Oryctolagus cuniculus: one gene and its partner. The protein of the gene in region 2 interacts with the protein of the main gene of each other region in a pairwise test. Links are inferred from orthologs where the notes say so. Each region holds a gene or a part of one and is shown on either strand. Other genes may lie near its edges.

The links. The genes of interacting proteins can lie anywhere in the genome.
Region 1: the proteins of STK4 (region 2) and SAV1 interact in binary tests that used the Homo sapiens proteins (3 or more experiments, as listed by UniProt). The link is inferred for Oryctolagus cuniculus from reciprocal best matches to the Homo sapiens genes STK4 and SAV1.

The regions. Positions count from the first base shown.
Region 1 is NC_091443.1:25,524,959-25,530,040, reverse strand, and holds part of SAV1 (protein salvador homolog 1), read right to left. Parts: intron 2,704-5,082; coding exon 2,560-2,703; intron 1-2,559. UniProt on the Homo sapiens protein: Regulator of STK3/MST2 and STK4/MST1 in the Hippo signaling pathway which plays a pivotal role in organ size control and tumor suppression by restricting proliferation and promoting apoptosis.
Region 2 is NC_091442.1:14,198,787-14,204,606, reverse strand, and holds the start of STK4 (serine/threonine-protein kinase 4), read left to right. Parts: upstream 1-2,325; 5' UTR 2,326-2,429; coding exon 2,430-2,464; intron 2,465-5,820. UniProt on the Homo sapiens protein: Stress-activated, pro-apoptotic kinase which, following caspase-cleavage, enters the nucleus and induces chromatin condensation followed by internucleosomal DNA fragmentation.

The sequences.
Region 1 (5,082 bases), on a different chromosome or scaffold from region 2:
AACAGCTGTGTAAACTTAGTATGGATAAAGCCTCTATTTCTTCACTTGGATATGATTTGGGGAACTTCACACAAGATTACATACCTAAAAGTATAGGATAAGGAGGGACACAGGAAGCAATGAAGAATAATTTACTTTCAAACACGTGCTTTTCTGTGATCACAGCACTTTGTATATACCACTGCTAATATTATCAAACTGCCTTACTAATCTGAGCAGCACCCACTTCTGTTTTCCCCAACGAAAGCCCTGAAGGCAAACACTTCACTTAGTCATAATTCTAAGAACAATGCCAACCTACCACATAGATTTCTATTAAGTATCCTCAATGAGGGGTGGGTGTTTGGTGTAGCACTTATGATGCTGTCTGGGGATAGTAATAGTTCCTGGTTATTTAGAATTCAGTAAGAAAATGCATCTAAAGAACATTTCAAAATGTACTTAAAGAGCTCAGTAATGATTGTTATTATTAATGACACACAAACACCACAAAGGTGAAGATCACTCTGGAAGGAAACTGCCTGAGTGTGGATTCTGGCTCCTTGATCTACTCCTAGTGACTGACCCTGAGCAAATTACGAACTTTGATCTAAATGTTTTTCCTCCATTGAAACATGGCAGATAATAATCTTACCTACTTAATGTCATAAGACTTAAAAGAGGTAGTATACTGTAAAGCACACGGCACACTGGCTATCTTGCATAAACCCTTAGTAATGGCTTCCTTTATTTTATTTATTTATTTTTTTGACAGGCAGAGTTAGACAGTGAGAGAGAGAGACAGAGAGAAAAGTCTTCCTTTTTCTGTTGGTTCACCCCCCAAGTGGCTGCTACAGCCAGCGTGCTGTGCTGATCCAAAGCCAGGAGCCAAGTGCTTCCTCCTGGTCTCCCATGCAGGTGCAGGGCCCAAGGACCTGGGCAATCCTCCACTGCACTCCCTGGCCACAGCAGAGAGCTGGCCTGGAAGAGGAGCAACCGGGACAGAATCCGGCACCCCAAGTGGGACTAGAACCCGGGGTGCCGGCGCCTCAGGCAGAGGATTAACCTATTGAGCCGCGGCACCGGACAGTAATGGCTTCTTAATATTAGGAGTGGAGCAAGGAAAGTTGTGCTCAAAGGAAAGTGCACAAGTTCAATCTTTAAAGATGGCTATGAATTTCCCAAGCTCATCAAAAACTGTTTTCCTTATTTTGGAAAGGCAGAGAATGAAAGTCAGATTATCCGCTGGTTCACTCCACAATAGCCAGGGCTGGCCCAGACCAGAGCTGGGAGCTGGGAGCTGGGAGCTGGGAGCTGGGAGCTCTGGGTTTCCTGTGTGGATGGCAGGGACACAACTACCTAAGCTATCACCTCCTGCATTTTCTTATTAAATGTTTTTTTAAAGATTTATTTATTTAAAAGGCACAGTTAGAGAGAGAGGAGAGACAGAGAGAGAGGTATCTTCCATCTGCTGGTTCACTCCAAAATGACACCAAGGGCTGGGGCTGGGCCAGACTGAATCCAGGAGCCAGGAGCTTCTTCTGGGTCTCCCATGTAGGTGCAGTAGTCCAAGTACTTGGGCCATCTTCCACAGCTTTCCCAGGCCATTGGCAGGGAGCTGGATGGGAAGTGGAGCAGCCAGGACTCAAACCAGCACCCTTATGGGATGCTGGCACTGCAGGCTGCAGCTTTAACCCACTGTGCACAGTACCAGCCCCTCTTAGTAAATTTTTAATAATCTCAAGATCAGATACTATAATTATCCCCAATTTACAGAATATGAAACTACATCAAACACCCTGCCCAAGGTTACAAAGTTAAAAAATCTAAGTGAACTCAGATCACCTAATCCCAGAGCTCACAGCTCTGTACTACTTCTTCAACATTCTTGTATCCTGCTTTGTCTCACTCACGTTATTTAGGACTTACCTGGGCCCTCACTTTTATCACAACTTCTCTTACCTTTAATTATGTTACTCTCCTTTGAAAACCTAAACTTTTTTTTCTTTTTAAAAAGATTTATTTATTTATTTGAAAGTCGGAGTTACAGAGAAGAGAGGAGAGGCAGAGAGAGAGGTCTTCCGTCTGCTGGTTCACTACCCAGTTGGCTGCAACGGCCGGAGCTGCACCAATCCGAAGTCAGGAGCCAGGAGCTTCTTCTGGGTCTCCATGTGGGTACATGGAGGGGCCCAAAGACTTGGGCCATCTTCTACTGCTTTCCCAGGCTATAGCAGAGAGTGGATTGGAAGTGCAGCAGCGGGGATTGGAAGTGGAGCAGCCGGGTCTTGAACCGGTGCCCACATGGGATGCCATGCTTCAGGCCAGGGAGTTAACCCACTGTGCCACAGTGCCAGCCCCATGAACCTAAACTTCTTAATGTATCTCTAATAGCAGAGGTATGCACATAAGCTTATAGAATATTTATCAGTAACTTTTACACTTTATAAGCTCTGATATCCTTATATATCACTTAGATGCTCAATTAAAGAAAAACATGGCACTGTTTGGATCAAGCAGTCCAAAGATTCTACTCAGTATTCTATTCACCCCTTAAAAGCTGTGTGCTGTAAATTCACTTACTTCACAGGTGCTCGAGCATAAACCTGTAGCCAGTCAGGAATTTCTGCAGTGTGATATGGATTTGCAGGTACCAGAAGGGACTGATTTCTTTCAGTTTGCTGTGGCTGGTATGTCACGGGAGGAGGCTGATCATACCGAGGGACACTAAGAAGAATGACATTCATTAGGATAAAAGGCCCTGGATCTAAGCAGAAAATTATAGAGAACAAACAATAGCTAAGCATCTTTTAATGTGCCTATTGCCGAAAATGTCTTCCTTCCACAACCTAAAAGATACTTTCCTATGGCAAAGGTCTAGCCTTCTTTATTTATCTGAAAGAGTTACAGTGAGAGAGGGAGACAGAGAGAACAGAGACACCTTCCATCTGCTAGTTCACTCCGCATATGCTCATGACATATGGGCCAGGCTGGAGCCAGGAGCCAGGAGCTTCTTTCAGGTCTCCCACATGGGTGCAGGGGCCCAAGCACTTGCCCATCCTCCGCTGCTTTCCCAGGCACACTAGCAGGAACTGGACTAGAAGTGGACCACCGGGGACATGAACTGGTGCCTATAGGATGCCAGGCACTGCAGTCGGTGGCTTGACCTGCTATGGCACACAGTGCCGGCCCTCTAAGCTCTAGCTTTATCATTCTCTAGGGAAATAAAATCCACCTTCCTTTGGAAATTGGTATGTTACATAAATCTACACAAAATATTTGCATATTTTTAACATATTTCTTCTGGCTAGTATTTAATCTTTTCAAAAACAGCTTCAGTGAGACTATAAAAAAAGTTGGAGCTAAGTTGTAACCTTACAAACAGGCTTAAAACTAGAATACCATATTTTTGTAACAATTAAGAATTAGGTGTAAATTCTAAATGAGAAAGGATACTTTCTTCCTCTTGTAGGATGAAAACAAGGGTTAGGATATGTAGTACAGTGGGAGTGGTTTCTGTGCTGGAAGTATTCACAGTATTTCCTCTTTATTTTATCAACTTACAGGGGTGGGGAATCTTTTTTCTGCCCAGAGCCATTTGGATATTGACAAAAATCATTTGTGGGCCATACAAAATTTTCAATTTAAAATTAGCTTGCTGTAGATTTACACAATTTCAAGTCCCTCCTGTGGCTGCCTTGGCAGGGCCAGATCAAATGATTTCAAGGGTCTTATACCACCTGTAAGGCGAACCGCCCTCCCCACAAGAGAACTTGTGGTAGTAAGGATTGATTAGAATCTATTTTATGCTAATTTCCATTTGTTTATTCTATTTATTTGAAAGGCAGAGAGAGGCAAAACAATTTCCCCTCTGCTGGTCCACTCCCATAATGCTCACAACAGCAGGGGCTGGGCCATGCTGAAGCCTAGAGTAGGGAACTCAACTGGGTCTCCCATTGGGTGGCAGGGTCCCAAGACTTGCCATCACTTGCTGCTTTCCATGGTGTGTATTAGCAGGGAGCTTGAACCCAGTACTCTGCTATGGGACTCAGGCATTCCCAGTGACATCTCAACCGTCAAATGCATACCTCAGAACCTATTTTAAATCAGAGAGATAAAACAAAACAAACGGCATCATGCTTCACTTAATTCTAATAGCCTGAATGTGCTGTGAGGAAGGCAGTAACTGCCAGATAGAAAGGGGAGCATTACAGGGGAAGATTAAAGGTTGAATTCTGAAGGCCAAAATAATCTATTTCAGACTCAGAGACAAAACCAGGAGGGGTATGCCTCCAAACATATAAGTTTTGCTTATTTATCAGAAAAGGTTACTAATTATTAGACCGGATTATAGTAGGGTTAGAATGCACCATGCTTAACAATTTAAAGACAATGTGCAAATAGCAATGTATTTTATCTTCAACTTTTATTTCATAACTAAATTCAAAGGGAAATATTTTTTGATAGCATGATATGGGGGCTGGAAGGAACTGAGACCTTGAAGTCAGATATGTCTGGGTTTTAGCCTCAATGTAGTCACTTACAACTTGTATGAATATGGGCAAAACTGCTTCACTTCTCTAATTCTCAGGATACTGATTAGTAAGAGTGGACCAAGACACTCATGCCACAGATGGTTTTCTCAGGACTAAATAAGCCACTGTAAGATGAATGTTCTGTGTAAGAATCAGCATAATAGAATCCAACAGCTATTACTACACTCATGTGAGTTTCAGGACAGTATTCAAGCATTCTTCCCCATTTCCACTTCTACAGAGTTACTAAGAGAAGCAAAGTAATTAATTGTGAAAATACTTTGTAAACTATAAAAATTCTGTAGTAATGTGGGGCTAATGATGATGAACGGAAAGTCAAGTCTGAAGTCTGGTTACTTGGACCCAAAGATCTCTGCCACGTGCTGACAACAAAAAACAACTGCAGTTTTGGTTCTTTTGAAGGAAGGGTACCTCAGTCCTTTACTAAACACTGAGCACCACTAAACGGAATCACTGGGAAAAACTGACTTTCAAAGTTTAATTAAAAACCCCAAATATGGCCGGCGCCGTGGCTCACTAGGCTAATCCTCCGCCTAACGGCGCCGGCACA
Region 2 (5,820 bases):
GCTGGGTGCCATGGGAAAGGTTTTCGTCCCTAGAAGAAAGAGGTACAGGACCAAATTGTCTTTTTTGTTCTTATTCTGCTTTGCGTGGTGCTGGATTAAGGATGTAATACCTGGAGGTGTAGTAGCCATTTTGCAACTTTAGGGCAATGAATACAAGTATGAAAAGCCAGCCTACTGAGTAGGATGGGAGAGGAAAGATGAAATTGACACTGCTGAGTTACTGAATCAACTCCAACTGCTGACTTCTAGACTTAAGTACCTAGACTTAAGGTCTTCTATCTGCTGGTTCACTCCCCTCATGGCTGAGCCAGTCCAGTCAGGAGCCTGGCACTCCATCTGCATCTGGAATGTGGGTGCAGGGCCCAAGCACTCAGGCCATCATCTGCTGCCTTTCCAGGAGCATTAGTAAGGAGCTGGGTCAAAGTCGAGTAGCCAGGACTCAAACCTGCCCGCAGAGCAGGAGGCAGCTTAACCCGCTGTACCACAATGGCAGTCCTGCTGGTATTTATTTTCAAAAGTGGGCATCAATCAGAGATGTCCTTCATGAAGGAAAATTCCAGTGGGCAGCGGGGCTGGAGAATAAAAAACCGAGAGTGCAGGGAGAAGAGAAGTGCTGGGGATTGCAGAAGTCAGGAGCGACCCCCCGAGGAGGAGGAACCCGTGATGGCTGCCTGAGCTTTGAAGAAACTCTTCTCGATCTTTTTTTCCCCAGGTTCCCACTGCCATTTGTATGCATTTCTAATAGAGCAGAGTGCCAAATAGAACATGGATTTTGTGGGGTCAGTCCTGGGTTCTTCCTAGCTGTGTCTATGTGAGTCTCAGCTTCCTTATCTGTGAACTGGGGATAATTCTTACTCATACTTCAGATGGCTGTGTTGAGGACTAAGTGGAAGTCTAGGATTGTGTCTGGCACAGGGTAGCTTCTCAGTAAATGTCTTCCTCTTAGGTCAGGGGAACGCTGCCCTATCCCCTGCCGGGAGCACACGGGGTGCCGTGCTTGGGTGGCCCTGAAAGCTAGTTGTTCAGGTGTGGTGTAGGTGCTGTATTCTGGGATAAGCAGGACAATCACAGAGGTTGCTCTGTGTCTAAGTTCTCTGCTGGACCTGCCATTTTCCTAACACTTATTGAAGGGGTAGCTTGCACAATCGTGAGAGTGGGAACTGGAGCTCCGAGTGGAGACAGCAGTCTCCAGGTCCAGCGAGAAATGAGCTTGGCTGCCCAGTTTGGTGTGCAGCCTCTGGAGTCAAATCCATGTGGATTTAAATCCTCAAACTTGTACAACTGTATGACACCGAGGGAAACTATTTCACCTCTCAGCTCTTATGAAATAGGAATAGTATTATTTATAGGACTGTTAGTACTAAATGAGTTACTACTTAGTAACACTGACAGTGTAGTAAGCACTGTCAAATAAGGATATAAATATAATGCTGGTGATAACCTTTCAGGCTTCGTATGCAGATTAAATGAGGTAATAGATCAAGTCAGCCAAGTGTCTATAAAAGCCATTTTGGGGGCTACCGTTGTAGCACAGCGGGTAAAGCTGAGGCCTGCAACAGCCAGCATCCCATATGGGAGCCAGCCAGTTCGCGTCCCCGCTGCTCCACTTCTGACCCAGTTCCCCTACAATGGCCTGGGTAAAGCAGCAGAAGATGGCCCAAGTGTTTGGACCCCTGGCACTCCCGTATTAGACCTGGAAGAAGCTCCTGGCTTTGGCCTAACCCAGCCCTGGCAGTTGCAGCCGTCTAGGGAGGGACCCAACAGACGGAAGGTCTCTTCCTCTAACTCTGACTTTCAAATGAATAAACCTTAAAATCATTCTACTAATTCCCACGATATTTAAAAAATAAACAGTAGCCATTTTCATGTCTGCAGACCCAAAGGTGAGGCTGTTTAGAAAAAGGGTGGAGCAACCTGTGGGTTGGCGCTCTGTCACAGCCAAGGAGAGGATGTGCAGGGGACCATCTGGGACCCGATACGATCAGTACAAAGACGTCCAGGCGCCACCGCAGCGGCATAGGCTCCGACAAATCGTTCAGAACTGGGCTTACGAATCAACAGTTCTAATCAAGTCCGCGCCTCGCCGGCAGCCTCAGTATCTCGGGCAAGAGATGCGGGGGCAATCCGAGGCCGAGGTGGCTTCCCGAGTACCCAGCGTCGCGCACAGCTTGCAGCCACACAGCACACACCGCCAGGAGGAGCCTCCGCAGCTTCGCGGTTCCGGGTTCGCGCCCCGTCGCGACACGTGACTCACGTCCAGCACCACGTGACCCCCACAGCGTCCCCAGCGCCGCCCCCGCGCTCTCGAGCCGCGCGCTGCTTCCGGTAGGGGCGGAAAGCGGAAGTGTGGGAGGGTCTGCGGGGCGGGCCTGGAGAGGTCCCGGGGAGGATGGAGTAGTGCGCGGGGCTGGGCGGCTGCCGGCAGCGCCATGGAGACGGTGCAGCTGAGGAACCCGCCGCGCCGGTGAGGGGCCAGGGGCCAGGCGGGGGGGCATGGCGACCGAGTGAGGAAAAGGCGGGAACTGGCTGAGGGGAGACCCCTGTGTGGGCGGGAAAGGACCAGCGGGCGAGGTGACCCGGCTGATGGGGCACCTGCTGGGGTGGGAGGGGGACGTCTGGCGGGGGGGGGGGTCCGACTCAGGGAGCGCCCACTGGAGCGGGTAAACGGGGGCTGGCCGGGGAGGGGGGAGCACTCGCTGTGCGGGACTTTGCCGAGGAACGCGGCGCAAGTTAGGGGGAGCCCCGGCTGAGGCCAGGGACCACTCGGGACAGCTGTCCTAGACGGGGCTCGCGGGGGTGACGGGGAATGCCCGCCTGGGAGCAGGAGGGCCTCCGAGGGGTCTGGCTGAAAGGCTCGATCGAGAGGGAGCAGGGAGGAAGCCCGGGCCCTGAGTCCCGCCGGAGGGGCGCAGTCCGGGGGCGAGCCATTGGGCGGAAAGCTTTGCGAGTGTGGCCGGGGAGGGGTCGTGGCGGCAGCGCCTGGGGGCTCCCGGTGGTGCCCTCGCCCTGGCGGGATGCTAGCCAAAGTGCCCTCTTAGTTTTTTTCCCGCATCCTTTGAAGCCCTTCGAAATCCAGCGTTAGCATGTCGGTAAGGAAGTAAGAGGATATTTTCCAGGGTGGGCAGACTGAGAGCCAGAGGAGTTGAGACGCATGTGTGTTCGCTGTTTTTGCTCTGAGTCACTGGAAGCTTCTGTGGTTTTACCTGGGATGGCTTTAGGTCAAGAGCGGGGAGGTGGCTGGCGCTGGGTGCACGTGTAGGGCTGATTTCCCTTGTGGATACCCGGGTCTTAGGCCGTCCCGCCCCATCTGGCGAGAAGCGGGGGGCAGAGACCCAGAGTCTGCTTCTCTGGGGTGCCCGTGGCGCTCGCTTGTTTCACCGAGACATCTGACTTCCTGTAGCAGAATGAGCGCTAAAGTAGGAAGTGCTCCGTGTGTGAGAGTGTGGGGCAACCGAGAGGTGAAGAAGGGAAGGGACGGACAGCCCGGGCAGCGCCCTTGGGGGCCCGCATCTAGAAGGCAAGTAGGCGGCTCGGAGGGGCTGGTGATCCCCTGAGTGTCCTATGCTGAGATTGTAATAGCAGTGCCTAGTATTGCGCCCAGCGCTCAGGGGGTGCCCGGCGCCGTTTTAAGTGCTTTCCGTTTGATTCTGATCATTTTTGAACATGAAAATGGTAATTTCATGTGGTTCAGTTTCTTAGTGACAGGTTGGATCTTCACAGTCCCATGAGGCAGGTTTTCCTACATGCCTGTTTTACAGATAATACAACGGAGGCATAGAGATGCTGGTGATTTGCCCGAGGCCCCTTATCGTAAGAGGCAGAGCTGGGATCCTGGTATCCAGGCGGTTTGGTCCAAAGTCTGCTGTTAAAGTGCCTCACTGGAAGCACCCCTGTGTCACAGGTCCTTGTGTGTGTTAACAGGTGCTCACTCCAGCACCATAGTGAGCCACTTACAAATGTGCACTACTTACGCTCCTTTCTGAAATACATTCGTTCCTTCTCCTTGGATTCCTTCTCTGAGACCTTTGTTTAATTGAAAAGAGGATTAGGGATCTTGAGTTTTGCTTCTCCCTGTGCCTTTGATTATATAATCTTCGGGCAGAGGAGTAAATCTTTTTGCTTTTTGACATGCTTATTCTCTCTCTCTCTCTCTGTTTTTTTTTTTTTTTTTTTTTTTTTTTTTTTTTTTTTTTTGACAGGCAGAGTGGACAGTGAGAGAGAGAGACAGAGAGAAAGGTCTTCTTTTGCCCTTGGTTCACCTTCCAATGGCTGCCGTGGCCGGCGCATCACGCCGATCCGAAGCCAGGAGCCAGGTGCTTCTCCTGGTCTCCCATGGGTGCAGGGCCCAAGCACTTGGGCCATCCTCCACTGCACTCCCTGGCCACAGCAGAGAGCTGGCCTGGAAAAGGGGCAACCGGGACAGAATCCGACGCCCCGACCGGGACTAGAACTTGGTGTGCTGGTGCCGCAAGGTGGAGGATTAGCCTGTTGAGCCTCGCGCCGGCCAACATGCTTATTCTTGTACCTTTTGGATTTAAAAAATGTACTAAAAGTGCAAGAAGAGAGCATTGCAGGACTGAGTTCTTGAATGACTGTGTCTCCTGCTCATGACTTGGACTTCCTAATTTGCAGCAGGTTAATAGATTTTTGTTTAGTTTTTTAGGACTGCCTTTTATGAGGTATCATGGACGAGCTGTTTTAAGCAGCAGAAAGTTATTTTCTCATAGTTCTGGAGGCTAGAACTCAGAAGTCAAGGTTTTGGCAAGATGGTTTCTTTTTTTTTTTTTTTAAATTAATTTATTTTATTTGAAAGAGTTACAGGGAGAGAGAGAGAGATATCTTGATCAGTTGTCTATCTGCTGGTTCACTCCCCAGATGGCTGCAACAGCCAGGGTAAGACCAGGTTGAAGCCAGGAGCCAGGAGCTCAATCCAGGTCTCCCACATGGGTGTTCGGGGCCCATATACTTGTATCACCCTCTGCTGCTTTTCCCTGGCCATTAGCAGGGAGCTGAATCGGAAGTGGAATAGCAGGGACGTGGACCAGAGCCCACATGGGATGCTGGTGTCACAGGTGGCCTTAGTGCCAGCCTTGGGTGGTTTCTTTTGAGGTCTCTGTCTTTGACTTGCAGATGACTGTCTCCTCCCTGTGTCTTCACGTGGTCTTCCCTCTGCTGCTGTGATCTGGTCTTGTCTTACAAGGAAACGGATTATACAAGGATACTTCAGACATCTTGTGGGAAGAACTGCTTGGGGCTCAATGTTTTTGCACCACAGTAGACTTATCTTTTAGTTTCATTATTCATGAATTTGTTGAAGTACCCTCATGTTGGATTAGGGCCTGCCCATTTAACCTCATTTAACCATAATGGTATCTTTAAAAGCCCTTTCTCTATACATAGTCACATTCTGAAGTACTGGGAGTTAGGACTTAAAACATGATTTGGGATGTAGGGGAACACAGTTTCAGTTTTGTTAATTTTATTTCATCAATTTGTCTTTATTTCTTTTATAACCCATATCAGATTCTGTGTGGAAGGAAGGATGGACATACATAAATAAATTGAATCTTAGGGCAGTTGCGAGGTGGAAGAAGGGATTTGAGAATTAACCACGCCTGAGTGACTACTTGATAAATGCCATCATATAAGTGTCTTTACAGAGATTCGGATGGCGTGTGTTTCTAACAACCTGGATACAGGAAATATACTTTGTGTTCATGAGTTTGACATTTCTGTGTGGCTAAGTGGATGATGATAGATTTGTATCTTACCTAGGCACTGATGATTTGTAAAAAGTGTATTGCCATTAGGTAATGGTGT